Linked DNA regions of Struthio camelus. The protein of the gene in region 2 purifies or fractionates together with the protein of the main gene of each other region. This does not show direct contact. Links are inferred from orthologs where the notes say so. Each region holds a gene or a part of one and is shown on either strand. Other genes may lie near its edges.

Region 1 (10,195 bases), on a different chromosome or scaffold from region 2:
AGGACGGCAGAGCGAAAGTGCGGCAGGCCCGGGCAGCACAGGCGGGGCAGCCATCTCCAGGCGCCAAGCCGGAGGAGACTCCTCGGCACTGCGGCCCCCGCGCGCTCACCCTAGAGGCCCTTCTCTGCCTCCGGCCGGCCCCCACGCGTACCCGCTGGCCCAGAGTCTCCCTCCAGGTGCCACACCAGCACCGTCATCTTCTCACATAGCAAAATCTCTTCTGCAGCAAGTAGTGAATGTCAAGGAGGTCTTTGGCACATCCTGGGTTTTTCGGGGTGAGGGGAAACATGCTGTTTATTCAGGTTGCCCCAGGACAAACCAGGTGCTTCCCAGAGCCCAGGTGTCCAACCCCGGAGAGCCTTACTTGTTCTCTCACGCCCTCTCACGCCAAAGGCCAACACATGGTTTCTTGGTGGGCTTCCTGGGTGCAGGACTCCAGCTTGCCCACTCGAGGAGGTTGGCGGCTGCTGCTCAGCCCACCCTCGCGCGTCCTAGTGTGTGCGGGGCTGCCAGCCGGACTCCGACAGCACTGTTTAGAGCTTAAATAAGCCAAAAAATGTCTTGGATTCCTCAAAATTAACCAGAGTGATTTTGGAAACATTGACGTGCAGACTGTCCATTTCTCTGAGCTTGAACAGAGCCCCCAGGTAGCTTTTCCGGGCCCACATCTTCTGATTTGCGCAGTAATTGATCTTTTTGTCCTCCATCAACACCTGGCTGCCCGGGGAGGTTGGGTTTTTCTTGTAGACAATGTGGGTTAACACCTGGCTGTTGCAGGTGCTTCCTCGGAAGAGCACGTTGGAGTATACGAAGTAGAGGCCAGTTTCATTGATCACCAAGCCCCGATTGCGGTACTGAATGCCGGCGGTGAAGGCATGCCCAGAGATCGGTTCCCACTCCAAAGGGAGGTCCTGCTGCGTCGGGTTCCCTGGAAGCCAAAACCAGAGTGGCAGTGTGAGAAGGACAGGCATTTTCTGGTTTTCTCAAGTCACAGCCAGCGTCAAGACAAGTCACCTCTTCCCCACATGCTCTTTTCAGCATGGGACATCTGCCCCAGGCCTCACAGATGTAGGAGCTCTCGCCGGCTGCTTGTTCAACACCAGTCACTTCTCAAAGTTTTTGGTCCCGCAAACCCCCAAGGCAAAACAAAAACCAAACCAAAAACCAGAGCCCTCACTGAAAAGCCTAAATGAAGGAGAAGATTTTAGCTGCGGGAGTGACATTGAACTCTCAGGGCATGCATGTTACCAAAGGAAACTGAGAAGGCCTACATGAAGCAGGATCCTCGCAGCTCTAACCAGGCTGCCCTTCTGCCCCAGCCACATCTGCCCTGTCCCGCTCTCCCTTCTCGCTGACCCCTCAGCACATACCTGTTAAGTGTGCTGCCTTCCTCTCTTCCTTTTTCGCTGACGCGCTCTTCTCCCCTACATGAAAACGGAGAAGACTTTAACCACATGCTCCATGGAGAAGCCAGCCCAGAGACCAGAAGGGAGCCCTCTGTGATGCTGAAATGGGGCAGCTTCAGGGCAGCACAAGGTGCATGGGCAACACGGCCTGGTGCAGCAAGGCAGATTGGTGCTCAAGCAAAGGCTTCACAGCAAGGAAGCACTGCAGCAAAGGATCCAGATTAATCAAAAGCAAGGGGAAGAACAAAAGAGCAAGGACAGCTTTCATTGAAAATGGCTCAGTCAATAAGCTCAAGCAGAGGTGTCTCCCTCAAGGTGCAGGAGAGGGCTGTCCTGCCCCATTAACTGGCATCTCTGGCCCATGCCAAGGTGACTGCTCATGTCCTGCCAAAGATGAGCCTGCTTTACTGCCCTCTTCCAGTCCAGCACTGCCAGGGGCACACGTCCCTGTGACAGCAGACAGGTAGCTGCTTAGTGCCAACCCTCCTTACAACTAGACCAGAAAAAATACTTGAGACTGCCTGCAAACCATCCTGCTGGCCGTGCAGACCTTACCCTGTGAGAGGCAGAACATAGCTAGGAAATCCTGGCCTCCTGCAGAGGGCTTGTGTCCCCTTGGAGAGAGAGGCCAGTGACAGTGAAAACAGGTGGGTGCTTGGAGCCCATGCCACCCTGTCCTTCCCCTCCATTCAGCACCCACTTCCAAGCACTAGGTTCCCAGATTTTAAAAGAAGCCTCTTCTTTTCTCATGCCAGGCAAATTCCATTTTCCTCTCTGCCTTCTCTGTTACACTATTTCCCTGGCTTTATTTATTTACTACCTTCAAGAATTTTGGGGTTAGTATTTATGCCTCACATTCAGGTGCTGCTAAAATAGCCTGTGATCAGAGCACTGAGGAGCTGGTTAAAATGACAGAGGAAGGAGAGCTAAGCAACAGATTACAAAGTTAATTGAAACAGGAGCTGCCCTTTCCAGGGAGTTATGCTGTTTCCAACTTCACTTTCATTCTGTATCAGAACAGAGTTGAAAAGAAATGAACTCTCCTACTAAACAAATCCTCAAGAAAAAAATATATTTTCAGATCTATCAAAAAAACTGAACAATTCTTTCTGCTTTAACCTTCTTTGCAAAGGGATATTATCACTGATAACATTATCGTGCTATGTAAAAGTAAAAAAAAAAGTCTGAAAGTTTCAAGTATAATTTTAATATTGTTCCATTCTAATAGAAACTCTACTTTTTTTTCCTAAATGAAATTTCAGAAAAATTGGCAGGTTCTTGTGGAAAGTTTCAATTTCACTGAAAAGACATTTCTAAAAGAAAAAAAAAAAAATATATATATATATATCATCAGGCTTTTCTCAATTAGCTTTGGCTGCAGTGAGACTTTGTACCAAAAGAATTTAGGAAAATATAAGTTGTCCTCTCAAGGGAGGAAGTGAATGGTCCACCCCCAAAGAAAATGAAACCCTCCGCATCCTCCCAAAATCTTGACAAGTAAGGAAACAAAGAAGTAACACGAATGATGCCTGTCTGGGATCTCTGTTCTCCTTCTTCTATCCATATTGTTGCTGTATATTAGGGCAGCTAGAAACTCACTTACTCTAGAGCCCCTCTAGTACCATCGCCCCATTGGGGACTGGGAGGTCCAGCCTGGGGGCAGATTGTCCCCATACCCACGGGTGATACCAGGGCAGTTTTCCTCCCAACAGGCAGGGTATGGGAGCCCTACCCGCATTCTGGAGATACATTTCTCATTCCAACCAAAGGAGTGAAATCAGCACTTTCAGAACATCAGAGCTGCAATCCTGCCTTTGCCCCCCCCCGCCGACATGGGGAGGGAAGAGTGAAATGGGAGATTTCAGAGAAGCTACAAAGAGGGAGCTCCTCTACCTACATCAACTCACCTATGAGCTTTTCCAGAGCTGGAGGGATGCGTTCAGTGCTGGCAGACTGTCAAAAGAAAAGATGACAAAGTCTCTTAGCATGGGAAGAGCATAACGGCATTACCTGGAACAGCCAAGGACTCTCTTTGACAGTGACTAGTTCTGGACACTCAAGGAGAACTGCGGAGTGGTAAGAAACACTATGTACAGGGACAGAGACCCTGCGGCACTTAGAAACACAGAGACATCCAGGCATATCATAGCCACCAACAGAGCAGTCCTCTACCATGTAAAACAACCCTACTCACACTAGGAGAGCAGACATTCAAATGTCTGCCCCATGGAGAGTTCTGCACCCCCTGAGCACCTCAGATGCATTTTTCGGTTTTTGTCCTTTCTTTTTTTTCCCCCCAGAGCCTCTATGACAAGCCAAACAGACTTTACCTCTCTGAGTTCAGCCAGTTCCTTCTCCAGGCGAAAAATCTGAAACATGCTCAGTCCAACTCCAGTGAGAGACAGCAGGATCAGCAAGGAGACCACCAGGAAGCCGACGTTCTTCCCTTCCCTATTGCCCCTTGGCTTTGTCCTCCGATCAGGTACTGGTGGTGGGAAGGGGGCAACGGGGGGTGTTGGAGGACAGGAAGTGCTGGGATTGGTACAGCCATCCACCCAGAAGATCTGAGGGTACAGGTAGTTCAGGTTCTGCTGCATGGCTGGGAGAGGGATGGGCTGGACGTGCTGTGCGTGATCTTCCATGTGGCAGCCAAAAGCTGCCAGGGCTGACCCAGACTGAGTCCTGGGGGAAGACCCACCTCTGCCTTTATACGCCTTCATCGCTCCAGCAGTGAACACCCAGCTCAGATGCTGTGCCTCTATGAAAGCCTCAAGCATCAGCAGCAAACCTCAAAGAGCTTCCGCCCTCAGCTGCAAGTTCAGGGTTGCCTGCCTGCTCCTCCCACACTGAGGCAGCACGCACACACACCAGGACAAACCCAGTGGCAGGCTGCTCTCCTACAAAACTGTGCCCAAAGGCTAGGCTCAGGAACGGGTGCACTGAGTAGTAAAGCACTGGCAGGGCATGAGAGTGCTGCGCTGCCAGCCAGGGGCTAAGCAATCAGCCCAGCACGCACGCCAGCCAACGACCCTTTCCAGCAGCCCGCTCTCCGCAGCCCACTCGCCCTGTGGTGCCCAGGACCAAGAGCAGAGGGGAACAACAAAGCCTGTCCTGCTTCTGGCCGCCTGCCTAAGAGGGAGGAGGCAGAGCTGAGGACGCTTCTCCTTGGAAGGATAAAGATCTGATCCCAAGTGTCACTGTGGGCACTGGGGAATTAGTTCATTTTGCGCAGGACAAATTACTTAGGGCAGTCTGTTGCACATCCCACCTTTCCTTTGCCTGCTCCCTAGGGCAGGGATTGTGTGTACAGTTTTGTATAATCCCTGACACAGCAGAGCCCTGGTCACAGATGCTGTGGTATAATAAACCAACGTAACGAAAAAGAGGAAGGCAACGTCAGTGCTGCAGCCTCAGCAGAGCTGCCCCAGGATTGACAGCCCAAGCACAGCCGGCTCAGTGGGCTGTCTGCACCCACACCAAATCACTGCATGGCACTGACCAAGCTGAACAAGCAGTGGGCTGTAACGCAGGAAACACACATCGTGTCAGAGCAAAATCAGGCTTCTTCTGGCAGCTTCTGCTTCCCTGTTTACTTCTGCAAACAGTATCACTAAACACACAGTCCTGTTCTGAACTGAACAAGCATTGGAGCTGGGAAGGTTGGTTTTTTTTTTTCTTTTTAGGACAATGCTGAGAACTGCAGCAGGACCTAACCAGTCTGTATATCTCATGATTAAAGCCTAGAATAGACACTGCGCTACTCATCTCTCAGTAGAATTTCTCTGCCTTCCTAGAAAGGATCCAGAGTTTAAGCTATGCTTCAAGGACCAGCACTCAGATGAAGGCTCATTACAAAATCATAATGAGGAAGGACAGGGACAGGAATGTTTCCATCCTTCAATGTAAGGCTTCAGTGGCCACAGATTTCTAAGTGATGGCAATGAGATCGTCCCACCAATTTACAGGCACACAAAAAACACTGTCCGCAGCAATCTGTTCTTCCATTTCACAGGCCTGCACGGCAGCGTATGTGTTTGCATAGGGGCAATGTTTAAAAAAGCAATTGCCTAACGCAAGAGGAAACTGGAGTTTTGTCTCCTACGTGGCCAAGCAAAGCAGCCCCAACACACGGGTTTTTATCTTGAACATCAAAAACTGGAATCTCAGGACAGCATGCTTTACCAAAAGCTGCATGCAAGCTTCTCCAGAGCAAGGGCTCAGCTCTACCTCCAACCACACCGATAACACTCTGATGTGTCCTCAAAGCCTTGCCTGCACCACCAGCCACCCCACTGTGTTTTGAAGCTATTCACCACAGCTGCTTGCTGAAGCAGTGATCTGCAGCGTGAGAGATTTCAGAAACTTATGCGGGTCCTCCTTCCTCCTTATACCTCTAGGTTTCTGACATAAAAGACACAAAAGCAACATGAATCCAGCTCCAGCAGTTCAAGCCTGGTCACACCTCCCCTCAACATGCAATTCTCCTCTCTGCATCTGAAATGGTGCCTACTAGCCAGGCAAAGTCACCTGCTAGTGGGATCATTACAAAAGTGGGATTACCCTTTGGGTCACACAAAGGGCTGGGCTCAGCTCCTCACCTCCTGCACCCGATGTGGAGTTTGGTCCACCCTGTTAGCCAGTGCTGGAGAGAGCGAGCGAGCACAACCTCTAGCCAGGAGCTGAGAGAAACAGCAGGCTGCTTGGGCAAGTGTCTCCCATCAACATGCTCCCCACACTGCCTATGCAGCACCTGAGCCACACGCAGGGGATGCACCACCCACTCAGGCTTTTTGCTCAACACAGTCCCAGCGGTCAGCACCAGCACTGCCTCACTCAGAGCAGTGAGTGCAGCACACCTGTGGCTCTTTGCAACATGGACGCTGAGCAGGGCAGGGAGTCCCCATTTCTTCTACAGCCCTCTGTATCCCCTTCAGCTGCTGTAAAATACACGGATGGGCTGGGGAGCAGGAACCAAAGCCTGGGACTTCCTTGGGCCCCAAACCCTCTCTTCAGATAGGGTTACCCCTGCCTCTCCTCCAGCCATGTATTTGGGGTTCTTCCCCATCAGGGTGAGACCCCTGCCTGAGGTGGGCCCAGAAGCCAGGTCCCCCTACAAGGTGGGCTTCCAGCTTTGACTAGCTCAGAGAAGAGGGAACAAGCACATCAGCTCCAAAACTTACTTCCTCTCACCGCTTTTTAAAGAAAAGGCTTGACATCTACGGCATAACAGAGGACATCAGAGCGCTCGGCTGTTGGAAAGAGCCTCCTCCGGCAACACAGGCAACATCCAATTACTAAGGAGGGAAGGAGACTGTCTGAAGAGCACAGAACAGAGCAAGGGAGCTCCCCTGTACTTTTGGGGTGCTGGTTCAGGGACTGACTGACCCTCAAAAACTCAAAGTAAGCCATGCCAGTGCTGCTGCCTGGACTTTGTACAGCCATCCACACATTTAGTTTTCAATTTTATGATCAGTACCGTGACTAGGAGTCAGAGCTGTGACAGAGACCAACGGAGCGTTTATACAGGAACTGGGTGCAAGAGGCAGGAGCTAAGGACTACGACCTTACAGAGCTCTTCCCAGCTCTAGATCCTACACGTGGGCCCTGGGACAGTCAGCTCTGCATAGGTACCTCACTTTGGCTGTCCAGACAAGCAGATTTCACCCTTGCTATATGGCACATATCTCATCAACAGCTCTCAAAATTACACACCTGTCCTGCCCTGAAGGATGGGGCTGGATGGCCCCACACAATTATATAGAGCTGGAGGGATGGCCAAAAGCCACCAAGCACGCAGCCTGGCCCAGAGAGGATCCACTCTCAGGATTTTTCTGATGCTGTCTATATTCAATGCAGACAGCTCATCTTGGTGGGATTGCGGGCACATTAGGAGCCTCTCTTAAATGTCACAAATGTACTTATTTGTCACCCACTGCTTCCTTTTTTCACTGAGACGCTTTTCTATGAGCGGATGACAGGGCAGAGACAACAAAGTCAATGAAAAGCATTTCAGCCATGCTGCATCTTCGGATGTTCAGATCAAGAGCCTGCTAATACCGCATGTTGCGGCAAACCAAAGCTTGGCTTATTTTACCATCAAAGGGTGATTTTTGGTGCCCAGCATGTTTTCAGAGACCTCTGCTTTCCCAGCACACCCTGCCATGCTGATTCTGTTGTCACACTCTCCGATTCCTTTACGACCACCTTCAGAGACCACCGAGATGATACATCCTGGAAAAGAGCAGTAAGGAGGGCTGCTTCTGGGCAGGATGTCATGATGCCTACAGGCTCTGCGCTCTGCTGGCTTCCTGTTGCTCACATGCCACATGGTATTAATAAACAGGGCTTTTGAAATAATAGCAGGACAATTTGCTGAACATAGACACCTGAGTCACATGAGTCTCTTTCACTAAAAGGCCAAGAGCAGGAAAAAAGGACGGACACAAAGGGACAAGATGGGAGTCAGATACGGCTTTCTGCCTCCCTATCTTTCTCTTTGCACAGTTTGTAGGAGGCCCACCCTGTCTTCTGCAGCCATACTCCCTCATTTGAACAGGAGGAAGCATTTTCAAATGGAAACACTTCATGTGCTCTTTACCAGAGAATCTCCTTTGCCCACAAACAAACAAACAACGGAAGGTAAGCCACAGCTACGCAGACACAAAAGGAGGATTTGCTCAAAAGACCACCCCCCCACCCCCAGGAAAGATGAGAGCTCTTATTAATAGTACTCAGTATTAGCAAAACCTAGATTCTGACAGCGATGAGAACCAGCCAGTGTCTAAGAAATACAGCTAAAAGTTTGTATCCAGCAGGTTTAAGGACAACAGGATGGAATTATTCCTGATGCGTAGCAAGGAAAATGGAACTTAAACAATGATCTGGATCTAATAATTACCAAAAAATAAATAGAAAATAGTAATTTAAAAAGCTAAGTGTAAGAGGGAGACTCTCATCGGGTTCTGGACGAAGAAAAACGTGTCAACAAATATCCCATTACAATAGTGACTAGCAGAAACGCTAGAAAACAACTACTGAAAGTCTATAGTGCTGCATAAATTACACCCTAGAACGAATGAAGAAGCATTTTCTGTCAAAAAGACAGGCTTAAAAGGCAACGCTGTGTTCATTTCACGGCATTAACTCAAGAAATTACAGCCTGATCAACCTTTTCTTGTCCCAGGCTAAAACCTGCAAGCAGAGTCAAAAGAGGCAATGGGTTTTGGCAAACAGTAAATATCAGCTAAAGCTGCAGAACAGATGCAACCTATTAACACTCACTAATGGTTACATTGGAAAAAATAACTGAGAGCACCATATAGGGCAAAGCTTCCGAATTTCCCCTGGGGATTGTCCTCCACACGACACCATTTGAACATCTTTAGCACTGACCTGGGAAAAAGTGAAAGAAAACAAAATGCTACACAAGTAATATTTGCAGATTAAAATAGCTGGTAATCGTGAGGACAGAGACTTTGGTCAAAAACAAACAGTCTAGAACACTGCAGATCAAACCCTGTAGGAGAAAACAACAACGCAGGAAAAATCGTTCTGAAATTGATACAGAGGCTGCCCAATCGCACGTTGGCTTCCCACGGGGAAAGGGTGCGGGATCCCCAGAGCGTAAGCTCGCAAAGCACGAGCCTGACAAACAGGAAGACGCAGACAGTTGCAGAACCCACATTGCGAGATCCTATTCAACTTCAGAGGGGCTCAGGAAGAAGCTAAAAAACTGCCTCAGAGCAAAGGCACTCAGTCTGGTTAACTCAAGAGAAGTTTAAGAGGGATGGACAACATGTGAAAACACATAAAAAGGGACAAGATTTCCAACAGCAGATGGCTCTTCAATCTCACGAATAAAGCCTTCCCAGAAAACTGCTAACTGGAAGGTAAAGCTGAAGTTTATGCTAAAAGCAAGACAAGGATGTTTGACTGAATGCTTAAACAGACTCTTGGGGAAAAAACTGCCTCCAACTATAGCTCCACTGATTGAGGCCTTCAAGGAGGGTGAAAGGCTTCAAGCTACACCAGAACTCACCCAGCACTGCCAGGAGCTCACTGCGCCACACAGCACGGGAACCCTGACCAAAGGGCCCATCAGTCCTGTGCTGCCTGAACTCCAGGGAAAAACATCCGTTGGATTTTACAGCACACGTGGGACATAAACAAGCTGTGTTAGGCTCAAGGGTCCTGCAACAGCCCTACAGGGCTACCCACCAGCTCCCCCATAGAATTTGGATAGGAAGACACTCATCATGCTCTCTGCTCTTCTCTCTGCCCAGCTCCTGCTCGGGGGGAGCCCCTGGGGAAAGCAGTAGTAGAAACTCAAAGCTTAGAGGCCCAATGCTGTTTGTGGCCCAGCGACATGCAGCACCCCCACAGCTCTACGCAATGTTGCGGTGAGCACTGACATCCTAGTGTTGTTTCTTTATTATGTTTTGTAACACTTCAGTTTGCCCAGGCAAGGGTGATGCTTTTCATTTCCTCAACTACCACTCCTTGAAACATTTGAGGCACATATAGAGACACAGTTCTGCATCAGCAGCTCATGAGGGAGTCATTCCTGTATTCATACTCTAGAGCAGACTTAAATCCATTTCTAAAGGCCCAGGTCTGGCAAGACAGTGCTTAACATGCCCCCTTCCAGTGAGCAAGACACTTTGTACTCTCCATTATTTAGCATATGTAAACTGTGCCGTGTTCCTCACCAAGCAAGCAGCAGCCCTGCAGGGCCCTTTAGTGTGGAACTTGAGGCAGGAGAGAATTGAGCAGGGGAAGGAACCAAGGCA
Region 2 (10,478 bases):
CAAACTACAGGCTAACCCCCTACAACCTGAACCACTTAATTAATAAAAACTTATCCATGTATCAGATACACATGCACACATACCTTGCCTTACCAACTCATTAGCAAACACAACTCCCTTGAGCAACTTAAAATACAGTAGTGTACCTCTGTAAATTAGAAAGTACCTTTTGCAGTATAGTAGCACGTCCTTACTGGAACTCAGCTAGGAGGCAATGCAAGCTAAAGACAGCTATGCTAAACCTGTGTGTGAAGGTGCTGAGTGATCCCACTCTAGTTTCTGCTGCAGCAGTGCACACATAGGATGTCCAGGTGCCAGCTTCAGTTGCCCAGACCCTTCCAGAGCTTCCTGCCTCTTAGCAAACCTGTGCTCTGACTCTGAATTTCTCACCTTTTTCCCTTTTATAGCTGCTTATTGCTTCCAAGAGATCAGGTGAAACACTCATACAGAGTTCCTCCAGCACTTGTACATTATTTTCAGTTAAAAGACCCTGTTTTTCCAATAAAATCAGCAACTCCAGAGCAGACTGACAGAAAAAAGAGAGAGTAAAATGCACTTATTGTTTCTTAGAACTTAAAACCACGGGTCTCGACCCTCTCTGCCTCATATAATTACATTATCATCTGCTTTGCTTCTTGCCAACAAGTTCCGAACAGTCAATTTTACATAGCCAGGTGACAGGGGAAATGTTGCACCATGGAAAGCTACTGACTGAATTACAACTTGGTATGTTCTTGCTTCAACAGATTTACCCAAACTACATTAATGAATTCTGGCCCTGAGAAGGCTTTATCGCTGTGAAACAGTACCAACGACATATGGGCATAAATGTCCTCTGTTCATGGCTCAAGCAGGAAAAAAAAAAAAAAAAGATTGATATGTCACCTTGTTGTGGTCTAATGCAAGAGAGTAGACCATCCACGACTGTCCTTGGCACAAAGCTGAACCAAGTTCCACTCTAATCCTGCCATCAGCTTCCTCCTTGCTAACTCTATAAAACATCCATCAGCCTAGTTGCAATTACGCCTTATTCTGGCAAAGATTCTCTTCTCCGTGCTCTTCCGTGCCCCCATCTTCCCTCCATACTATATATACGTTTGTCTCTCTCCCTACATACAATAGTTGTCTGTCGCTTTGGTAGCTGGTTCCTCAGGAGGAATATGATTTCCTTTAACATCTCGCTGGTAACGTTCTCTGCCAATTCATACAGCATCTGCCTGTAACAGAGACCCAGTGAGATCAAAGTAGAACAGAAGAGGGTGTAGAAACACAACGCAATCTGAGAATTTAAAAACTGAAAGGGAAATAGCAGGCAACAGATGGCAGCAATGCAGCTAACAGAATCCCATTGGAAGCTCACCTGTATGAAGACACTCTTCCCTTCTCAGGCAGATATTCTTGCACTCTCTCCTTGGTATAGCCAAGTTTTTTGAGCAAGAAGTGACATTTAATTCTGTATAAGAGCTCAGCTAGTAGGAAAGTATCCTCCTCACTCAGATACTCTTCAGCCATAAGAAACTGAAAGATGTCCAGTGCTGACTGCACACTTTCCAATTTTTTGAAGGGGATCAGGTCAATGCAGAGAAATTTTAAAGCTGCTACATCTTCGGTACCCAGGTTTTCTTCAATGAGTAGAAGCTGCTGACGGAATTTCAAGCTGATATCATCCCCCATGTTGCTGGGGATGCTCTCTGCCTGAAAGCAGAAAGCAAACATTGTAACACTGTAGTCTTCAGTACAAGAATCCTTGAAATAAGGATTTCATCCAACACCTATTTGGAAGCCCTGAATACTCTGCAGAAGAGCAATTTCTTTTTGAATCCATTTGAAATGTACTTCCTTCTCCAAGCAAACAAATGCATCAGAGAGTAGATTTGGCAGAAGCTCTGAACAACCCAGTCTACCCTTGAAGTTAGCCCTGCTTTGAGCAGAAAGCGGAGTTAGATGACCTCAAGAGGTTCCTTCTTCCAACCTAAATTCCTCTATATCCTTCCATCAACTTTCATGTTCAGAGGAAGGAGTTCCCAACTACCTTCTGCCTCACAACTGCAGCTTTGTTCCTCTACATTGTCTGTGGCTGCAAAGAGTCCCTGCAGTAACTCTATTATAGCTCTTAGTGGAGAGGGGGCAGTGGTAAAATCACACATGTTCCTTGATCTGCAGTCTGAGGACTCTGCTGATTTTTGGCTGCAGCAGGCAGGCGCTCCTCTGTTTCAAGTCTGATATCCAAGCTGAAACTGTAAATAACCATCCACTCACAGTCATACCCTGCCACCAGATTGCGTCTTGCATTTCGCACAAGAAAAGCCTAAGACCTCCCTTATGAGAGTGTCTAATAAAACGTGATAAGAAATCAATCTAAAAGGACTCTGTACAAGCAACTCAACGTTATTGAAGCGTAACAGAAACTAATCACGCTTCTGCTAAACCAACTTCCTCCAGGTAGCTTAGGCAGGTCTTTTCTGCTGGAGTGAGGTTACATAGGGAAACTTGTTTTGATTGGTAAGAAAGTGCTTCTGAAGTTCTCTGCCCAAAGAGTCAGGGAGGTCCTTAACCCTCCATTAAGTGCAGCTGGAAGTAGCAAAGCTCTCTGCATGAAGGAGCAGCAGAAAAAAAAACCCAGAGAAGTAGGGGTATGGACAGAAACTCTGAATCCAAAGCCTTTGAAGCATGTGGGAAGACTGGTCAGCAGATAAACCACAAAGGTTATCATAGCATGTGGGGAGCACAAGGAAGACACTGTGGCAGTTTTGTGTTCAAGGGCACATAAGAAATATTATCCCAACTCCTGAAACCCAGTGAAGGATACAAGCACCATTTCATATTTCAACAACAGGTTTGACAGAACCCAGGAATCCTGAATTCTGTATTGGCCCTGTGTCACAAGTCAGAGACTGTGCAAGAAAAAAAGGTCGTATTGTTTTTGCCTGTATTCAAGCTTACTCTCCCATAGCTTACTAATTCCGTAACTCACATTGTTTCTCTCCTCAAATGAAATCCTGCGTATTGTGACACCTTATTCACTGAAGAAACACGCTGCTATCAAAAAGGCTCAGATCTCAGTCATCTATCTACGCAGAGAAATCGTATCACTTCACATTAAATCAGGCTTTAAATCAATTTAGCTAAACTAGTTTCAAACCCTATCTAGATGCTTTAGTCAACTAAATTTAGCAGAATAATTTAGCTTAAGTTGATTCCTGTCTAACAAGCCTATATACACCAGATTCAAACTGCATTTGTGTCTATTCAGAGTTTGGAGACAATGACTTCAACTAAACTAGTTTAAAAATCATAGCTTTAGAGGAACAGGGAAAAGCTGTGCGTAGGTCAAGCGTAAGTACTCATTTCACCAGAAATCAAACCGAAAGAAGATCCAGCACCAATTCCTTCATCTATCTTTAAAATAGTTTTAAAATGTGCATTCCAGTCACCTTTGGAAAGCTTTTCCATCAAAACCCTTCCTGCTTGAGTTCCAAATAACCTCAAGGCCACCCAATCTGCGCTGTGTTTACTAGCCATGACCTCTCTTCCTTCCCCCCCTGTACTGAGAGCAGACCGGACTGTTGCTGATTCCTAGCTCTACTGTGAGAGGAGGTTCCGCGGACTTACAGCCTGATCCAGTGTTCACCTTACTGTTACTGGGTTTCTGGAACAGTCTATGACTTCATGCGTTTCACAGGCAGGTTTTAAAACATTGCGGTGAAAGGCTCCTAAAAGCAGAGGAGGAAAAACAGCAAACACTCCCTTTTCCAGTAAAACTAGTTTGTAAAAAAAGACAAATGCTAACCACCCAGTGCTAATGCAGGGGCAGGACCTCCCTGCTCCCCAAGTTTGTCAGGGCTCACTCATTTATTTACAGACACAGCTACCAGGAGATCAGCAGGCAGACTGTCAACACACAAAAAAATGATGGATCAGTGTCTCCAATTTGTGTTTTGCAAAATATCCAATTCCTCCAGGAAGGAAAGTCACATAAAATGAGAACTGAGGATTATCAAATTATTATTTTTTTTCCCTTTAACTTGTTATTGATTGGGGTGCTGCCCAGCTTCAAGGTTTAAAACTAAAGCAAAACCACGGGGCCCTGAGGAGTGCTGGGGCCCGGCCCTCAGCCCCAAAGCAAGCCCCTCAGCCCCCGGCCGGTGAGTTTCCCAGCAGCAGCTGCACGATACCGGAAGGAAGGAAGGAAGGAAGGAAGGAAGGGGCTTCAGCTCCCGACTCGAGCGCTGAATCCCTCCTCTGTTCCCTCTCCATTTCGCTCCCTCTTACCTCTCAAATAAATCCGCTCCCGCTCCCGTCCCCTCTCTCGGCGGCTCCCCCGTGCCTGCCACTCAGCGCCGCCCGAGGCCGAGGCCGCACCCAAGAGCACCGGTGCTGAGTCACGGCCCGGGCCTGGCTGCCCGGCGCCGTGCGGGGGGAAGCGACATCCCCAGCGGCGGGGGCGGAGAAGGGGGCACGGCCGAACCGGGGAGGGGGCCTGGGGGCCGCCTCCGGCGCTGGAGCGGCGGTACCGGGGCGTGGGCGGGGCCCCGCTGGCTGAGCCCGGCCGCGCAGGGCAGCCGGCCCCGGCGCTTGGCAGCCTTCTCCCCCCGCGCCAGGGGGCTCCGCTGCACAGTCGGGAAAAGCAACCGGCAAAGCAAAAGCAGCGCAGGAAGAAACTGTTTTCTCTCTCGGTTTTAAGCCATGTCTAAAGCTAGCTACACGGCAAAAAGAGACCCAAACATTTTGGGGAGGTTTCTTCACCTGACAAGAAGCCTTGAAGCTACTGCCTGCAAGTACAGTTTTTATGCAAGATCTCCCGCTCAGCACCCCCGCTGCAGTAAGGGGGGGGGGGGGGGAAGACAGCGCAGGGTCCTCGCTGCTTTCAGCAACACCAGCATCATCTCCCCCGACCCTCCAGCTCAGGGCAGCGGGATGTGATGAGTCTCCTTGCTCCCGCCAAACAGCAGCTGTCCAACACATGCAACAGCAGACTTCTCTGCTGAAACTAAAAGGCTTCGCTGTCCTTTATTCAGTCAGGTGTTGGGTTTTTGGTTTTTGTTTAAAACAAAGCTGTAGAAACTCAATAGCCAAATTTAACAAGCACCTGATGTCTACAGGATAAATGGGCCAACAAGGTAAAGGGTTACTCTGAGATTGGCAGGGAGATGTAGACAATCAGCCTGACTGCAGGCGCTTTCCTTGGCAAAATAAGGTGAAACCCCAACATTTATGATTTAGGAGCAACAGGACTAAGCAGTTTTGCTTAACTATGATTCTATTTCAGTAATGGCACTGATTCAAATCATGTTTCCTATGATGCTATGTTTCTACAAATTAAACATACAAAATATGATGTCAGAGTAATACATATTTCAAACTAGAGTATGTACAGAAAGAGACAATTCACAAAAACAAAATTCCTGGAAGACTGGCACTCTCTTATTGACCCTCTAACAAAGGAGATGAAGAAAGATTTTTTTGATATAGCCACAGAGAGAAGCTATCCAATAATTCCATAGAGGAAATAAAAGTTTAAAAGGAATATAACCACAAGTACAGCAAGCAGACAAGACTACAGAACATCATCCACAGACAGCAACTTTTTCAGAGCAATAGCATCTGGCACGTCAGAAATTTAAAGCTGTACATATCAGAAAAGAATTCTTATAAACTGTCATGTAAAGCTGGTACTGATTCAGGTATCTGTAACAGTCACTGTTACTTCTTAAAGAGCTGAAAGGGTGTATGCATCAGACACACAGTATGCTGCACCTGCAAGCGTGAGCACCATAACATCCTCTTGAATTTAACTTCTTTCCTGAATCACAAGTTGGCAAACACCACAATCTCCTGCCTCACAGGTGCTTTTTCTGAGCCAGTGGTAAAGCACCATCTATATTCTGCCATTTCTCCTTTCCTTCTTCCATATATATGACGCAAACAGAAATGCAAGAAATGTCTATTACAGTTACTGGCAACTGAAGTTCTGTGCCACAGAGTCGGACGTTCCATGCGCTCACAAGCCAGGGGCAGAAAAGAGTGGCTTTCCTTCTCTTGTTCAACAGCGGGTTCAGAAAGCTATACGTTTTGGCAGACCACGACCATGAAAATCCACCACTATCTTTTTTGCTTGTTATGTTCCAGTGCTAACATCTTAGGCTTAATTCTGGATCCATCATGGAGGGTTTTTTTCCCCCCCCTTTTCTTTTGGCTACTGAATGGGAGTTTGATATTCAACCACTGCACCAGTAACAAACTGATCTGTAATGCATGTACAGCTTGATGCCATCCAGACCTTACATGCAGTCAGCTTCCAGGCTCAAATTTCAGGCCCACAGTAAAGCAAAACCAGACGATCCCAATCAAACATACCCAGGAGCACAGAAAGTTATGGGGGAAGTGACAGACAACTTCTGGCATCACAAAATTCCTGCATGTTAGCAAATACCAACTTCATCAACATTGGTTTTCACAACGCACTTCGTCCAGGGAATGAGTCTATCCCATAAGCCACTCTTGAAGGCGGCATCCAGGCAATTAATACTGCTTGGTACTTACATGATTACAGACTAAGTACTGCTCTGGGCCAAGAATCTCCTGAGCACCAAGACATCAGTGTAGAAACTCAGTGTCTGGCGTCCATGAACGCTGCAAGATGCGTGGAATGTCCCCACAAATCTTAGGACATCAGAGGACTGCAGTCACTGCTGCATCTAAGCAGCCAGACACAGAGACTCCTTTCCTTTTTACTGCTAGGATTATGTAGAATAATCTCCTCAATTTTTTTTTTTCAAAGTGTTTCCTCTTCATTTCTTAAGGAATAGGACACAGACTTTACTGACAGTGCCATAAACTAAAGTGAAGAATATGTATGCTTCTTGAACCCTCCTCTCCAACTTATGCTGTCATAAAACTATCAGAAACAGAATACATCCTATCACTGATAGTTTAGTAAATAGTTATATTTTGCATCACTCAAAAAAAAGTTGGATCCTGTAAGGATATCCACTATTATTCTTACTTCCTTCCTCCCTTTTCTCCTGTCTTCTTCTTTCTCCTTCCAATTTTGATGTTGTATTTCTCCTCCAAATCTTCTTTTCCCTACTTTTTCTTCTCTTGGTTCTCCCTATCGTTCCCCTTCTCGTTCCTGCTTGAACTTTGAGTATTTCTTTCCCTCATCTCTCTGCCTCCTCTTGGTTCCATTCTCCCTGCTTTTGGTGTCTATGAAGCAGTGAAGTGCTCATCATACGTAACGGCTAATAAGGGAAACGGGAGAAAAAAGTTAATTTAATTTGTGAAGTGAAATCATATTTATTATCACATACGTCTGTACAATAACTAGGAAACACACCTTATTTCTATAGCCACAGAACAGCGTGTATTTGTTTTATACCATCTGCTTCATTTACCAGCTACTACAGGAACTAACTTCTCAGATTCCAAATCCATCGTTTTATAATACTCCTCTCACCCCACGGAATATGAGCAAGGTAAAGTTTCAAAATTACACTTGCTGCATTTTATTCCAAGCTGGGCAGTTTATGAAAAAAACAGAGGTCAGAAATGAATGCCGTTTTTATTATCCATGACATATGATACAGACCTTTCTGGTGTTGCAAAGCAACAAGTTCTCTAGTTGAGTCTGTGGAGTACTTACAAACTCAAATTTAAGATACAAAATATTTTTAAAGCCGGAAGCAATATGGTACTAGTTTATAAAAAGAACCAATTTAAAAGGCCCTTTCTTACAAAGTAGGCAACTGGAGGAAGAACTGAGCTCCCCCACACCACCACTATGATATCTTTGTTTCTAGACCTGTAACATCATGAAATGGGATTTAGTATTTTTAATTTAACACTTGTAGAGGAACAAGCTTTTAGAGAATGTCTAGATTTTGCAAAAGTTGATTTTATACCATTTTCTCCTCTTATTACCTTTGCCTACATAAAATTACACCAACATAAATAACACAGGTACTGATGATTTAATGTACCCATGATCTACATAAAATTTTGGGTTACATTTCCCAATTCTATATGCTTTTCCCAATTCTATATACTTTTATTAAAAAGATATACCAGCTTATGAAGTGGATAGAGAGAGAAAAAAAACATTATACACAGGCTTATAATATAGGGGAAGTATTTTTCTAACTTGTGCAAAAATTTCTTATCACAAATACATATTTCACTATGTATTCCATATCTAACATGCAAATAAAACTGAACACAAAATAAAAAAAGACATAACAAGAGTGAAGATTTTTTTGAATATTTTTAAAGTGTAATGATATAAAAGGCTCGGTATATGTATTATACAAAATTATATATTAATATAAATAAATATGTTTTTGATCTTACAATTGTTTATGGATGCTTAAGAAAAGAATATAAGGTAATACTCGTTAAGCGGGTTTCTTCTCTTGATAGACTCTAACAGTCCTCAATCAATCAGCAGTTTAGGAACCTCTTAGGTCAGGAAGAGAGTGGACTTGCACCATATAACAAGGAAGGACTCCTGAGTGCTTATCAGATATAGATATCTACTCTTTGCCAAATAATTGTGAATATCAGTTTCAATTATGAAAGTTACTTGTTTTTTCTGATGAAACTTAAGAACTGTAGTTTCCAAAAAAAAGGTTATTAAAAATAATGTCAAGCTAACACCTAGGAAATACAACAGGGTATTGAGGAAAAAAAGTCATTGCTACCAAAATAAATGTATTGGCCATGCCATCATGATTAGTAGCAATATACTACTACTAGCTGCCTGCGAGACCCAGCTGACAATGAAAAGCATTGTTGGCAAAATCATATAGATTACCACATGTGATTTTTATTCAAATCAAATACAGCTATACTAGTAAAAAGTCTTCTGCAGTTTTTTTTTTTTTGTTCAAGGAACTAGCATACACTGTATTAGCAAAAAAAACACCACCACCAAACAAAACTTTTCTTTTTGCTTGCATGACATACATATGCACCACAAGGATGCATGGCATAACTACACCAGAAACCAAGCAAGGTAAGCCAAGGTCTTGAAGTCCCTTCCCAGATAGAAGACTTAATTATTAAGAATACTGAAAGTTTGCAAGTGGCTTATTTTAGGAAGGAGAATGCCGTAAATTCAGCAATAGTAAATCTCAATACAACTCATCCAGGTTGTAGTGTTATATAGCAATCAGGTCTGAATGTTGATGGTAGGCATCTGCCTTATTGAAAAAAATACTGCTACATTTTAGGCAATTTTCTCTCATGTCTTCTCCAGAAGAACAAAGGCAACTGAAAACAAGTTAATTGAAGACACACCCTTTTCCATAAGCAAAAGGAGGGAGGGAAGGGGAATGTAATCCTGCCTTAAGAGCCAGTGGTTGCTAAAAGACATTCAGGTTCAAATGTGATAAACAGCGTATTTTTATAGCTCTGTTTGATGTGGCAAGTATGAATCACGTTTCAGCTTTCACAGAACATCTGCCAAACACCACATTTTTAAACTGTGCAACTTTATTACTGTAAGGCCCTGCCGTATGAAGACTCTCTTGTACCAGCAGAAAGCAAAATTAGTCCAAGACATGGCAGACTGCCCGATTTAGAACCACGCAAACCCTTAGGTCCTGTGGAGAGCACTGAGGACACAGGGGGTTCTGGATGAATCACAACCTCTAATGCAGCAGGCAGATGGAATTCAAATTATTTTAAAGACCATTTTTCTCTTCATTTTGTTTTGCTACAGTCTATGCAGGCATGCAAGCCAGACCATTGCTACAGGAGAACTAGAGCTGCTGGGAAGGCATTCTCTCCTGACAAGTTCTCCATTATTAGGTGCCGGGAAAGGTATTGAGTGAATATCAGTGGTTTGCACAGATTTGTCTTCACTTTAAACATCAGAAGAAGAGCCGAGATCAGTGCACTGCTAACAGGTATGCTAAAAAACAAGCAACAAAAACACAGAACTCTGAAAAACCCAACAGCTATAGTTTAGAGCTCTTTCCACACTGTTTACCTGTTGCATTTGGTTGCAAGATCTGTTGCAGTTTTATACAATAGCTGCCATTCTTATCCAAGTTTTCTGAGACTTTTGTATTAAAATACCAAATCTAGTGCCTTAACACTTCTAAATCCCCAGGTTGAGAAGCAACAGGCACTTGAGGTACGCAGGTAATAACAGTGCTTAAAGTGAAACTGCATGAAGGTGTGTCTGGACCTTAGCAAGTATTTCTTTTAGCTATTTCAGACATGTACTTTCCAACAGCGGTTAAGTAGGAGAAAAAAAAAGTTTTTTCCTCAATGTGTGCTGGAGCAGAAGTGAGTATTGCCGGCTTGGGTCAATGGTCTTGTTCCACTCATAGACTTCTCTGTTCAGTTCTGTATGGATGTCTAACACAGAGAGTTTCCTGCAGCAAGAGAAATACAAACTTTTCTTTAAAGAACGAAGCAGAACACATTTAAGAACCCAAAGGATGAAAGACAACTTCAAACTCAGCAAGAAGAAA

What was found. Proteins that work in one complex are often made in the same cells at the same time.
Region 1: the proteins of CASP10 (region 2) and FASLG purify together in Homo sapiens (co-immunoprecipitation; 3 studies listed by BioGRID and IntAct, with this or other methods). This does not show direct contact. The link is inferred for Struthio camelus from reciprocal best matches to the Homo sapiens genes CASP10 and FASLG.

The regions. Positions count from the first base shown.
Region 1 is NC_090949.1:8,981,581-8,991,775, reverse strand, and holds FASLG (tumor necrosis factor ligand superfamily member 6), read right to left. Parts: upstream 4,182-10,195; 5' UTR 4,127-4,181; coding exon 3,737-4,126; intron 3,360-3,736; coding exon 3,314-3,359; intron 1,425-3,313; coding exon 1,371-1,424; intron 929-1,370; coding exon 534-928; 3' UTR 414-533; downstream 1-413. UniProt on the Homo sapiens protein: Cytokine that binds to TNFRSF6/FAS, a receptor that transduces the apoptotic signal into cells. Involved in cytotoxic T-cell-mediated apoptosis, natural killer cell-mediated apoptosis and in T-cell development.
Region 2 is NC_090947.1:10,377,389-10,387,866, forward strand, and holds the start of CASP10 (caspase-10), read right to left. Parts: upstream 4,524-10,478; 5' UTR 4,273-4,523; intron 3,716-4,272; exon of another isoform or gene 3,613-3,715; intron 1,696-3,612; 5' UTR 1,675-1,695; coding exon 1,361-1,674; intron 1,218-1,360; coding exon 1,118-1,217; exon of another isoform or gene 1,003-1,117; coding exon of another isoform or gene 886-1,002; intron 527-885; coding exon 391-526; intron 1-390. Other genes in the region: CFLAR (CASP8 and FADD-like apoptosis regulator), read right to left, coding at 10,241-10,379. UniProt on the Homo sapiens protein: Involved in the activation cascade of caspases responsible for apoptosis execution. Recruited to both Fas- and TNFR-1 receptors in a FADD dependent manner. May participate in the granzyme B apoptotic pathways.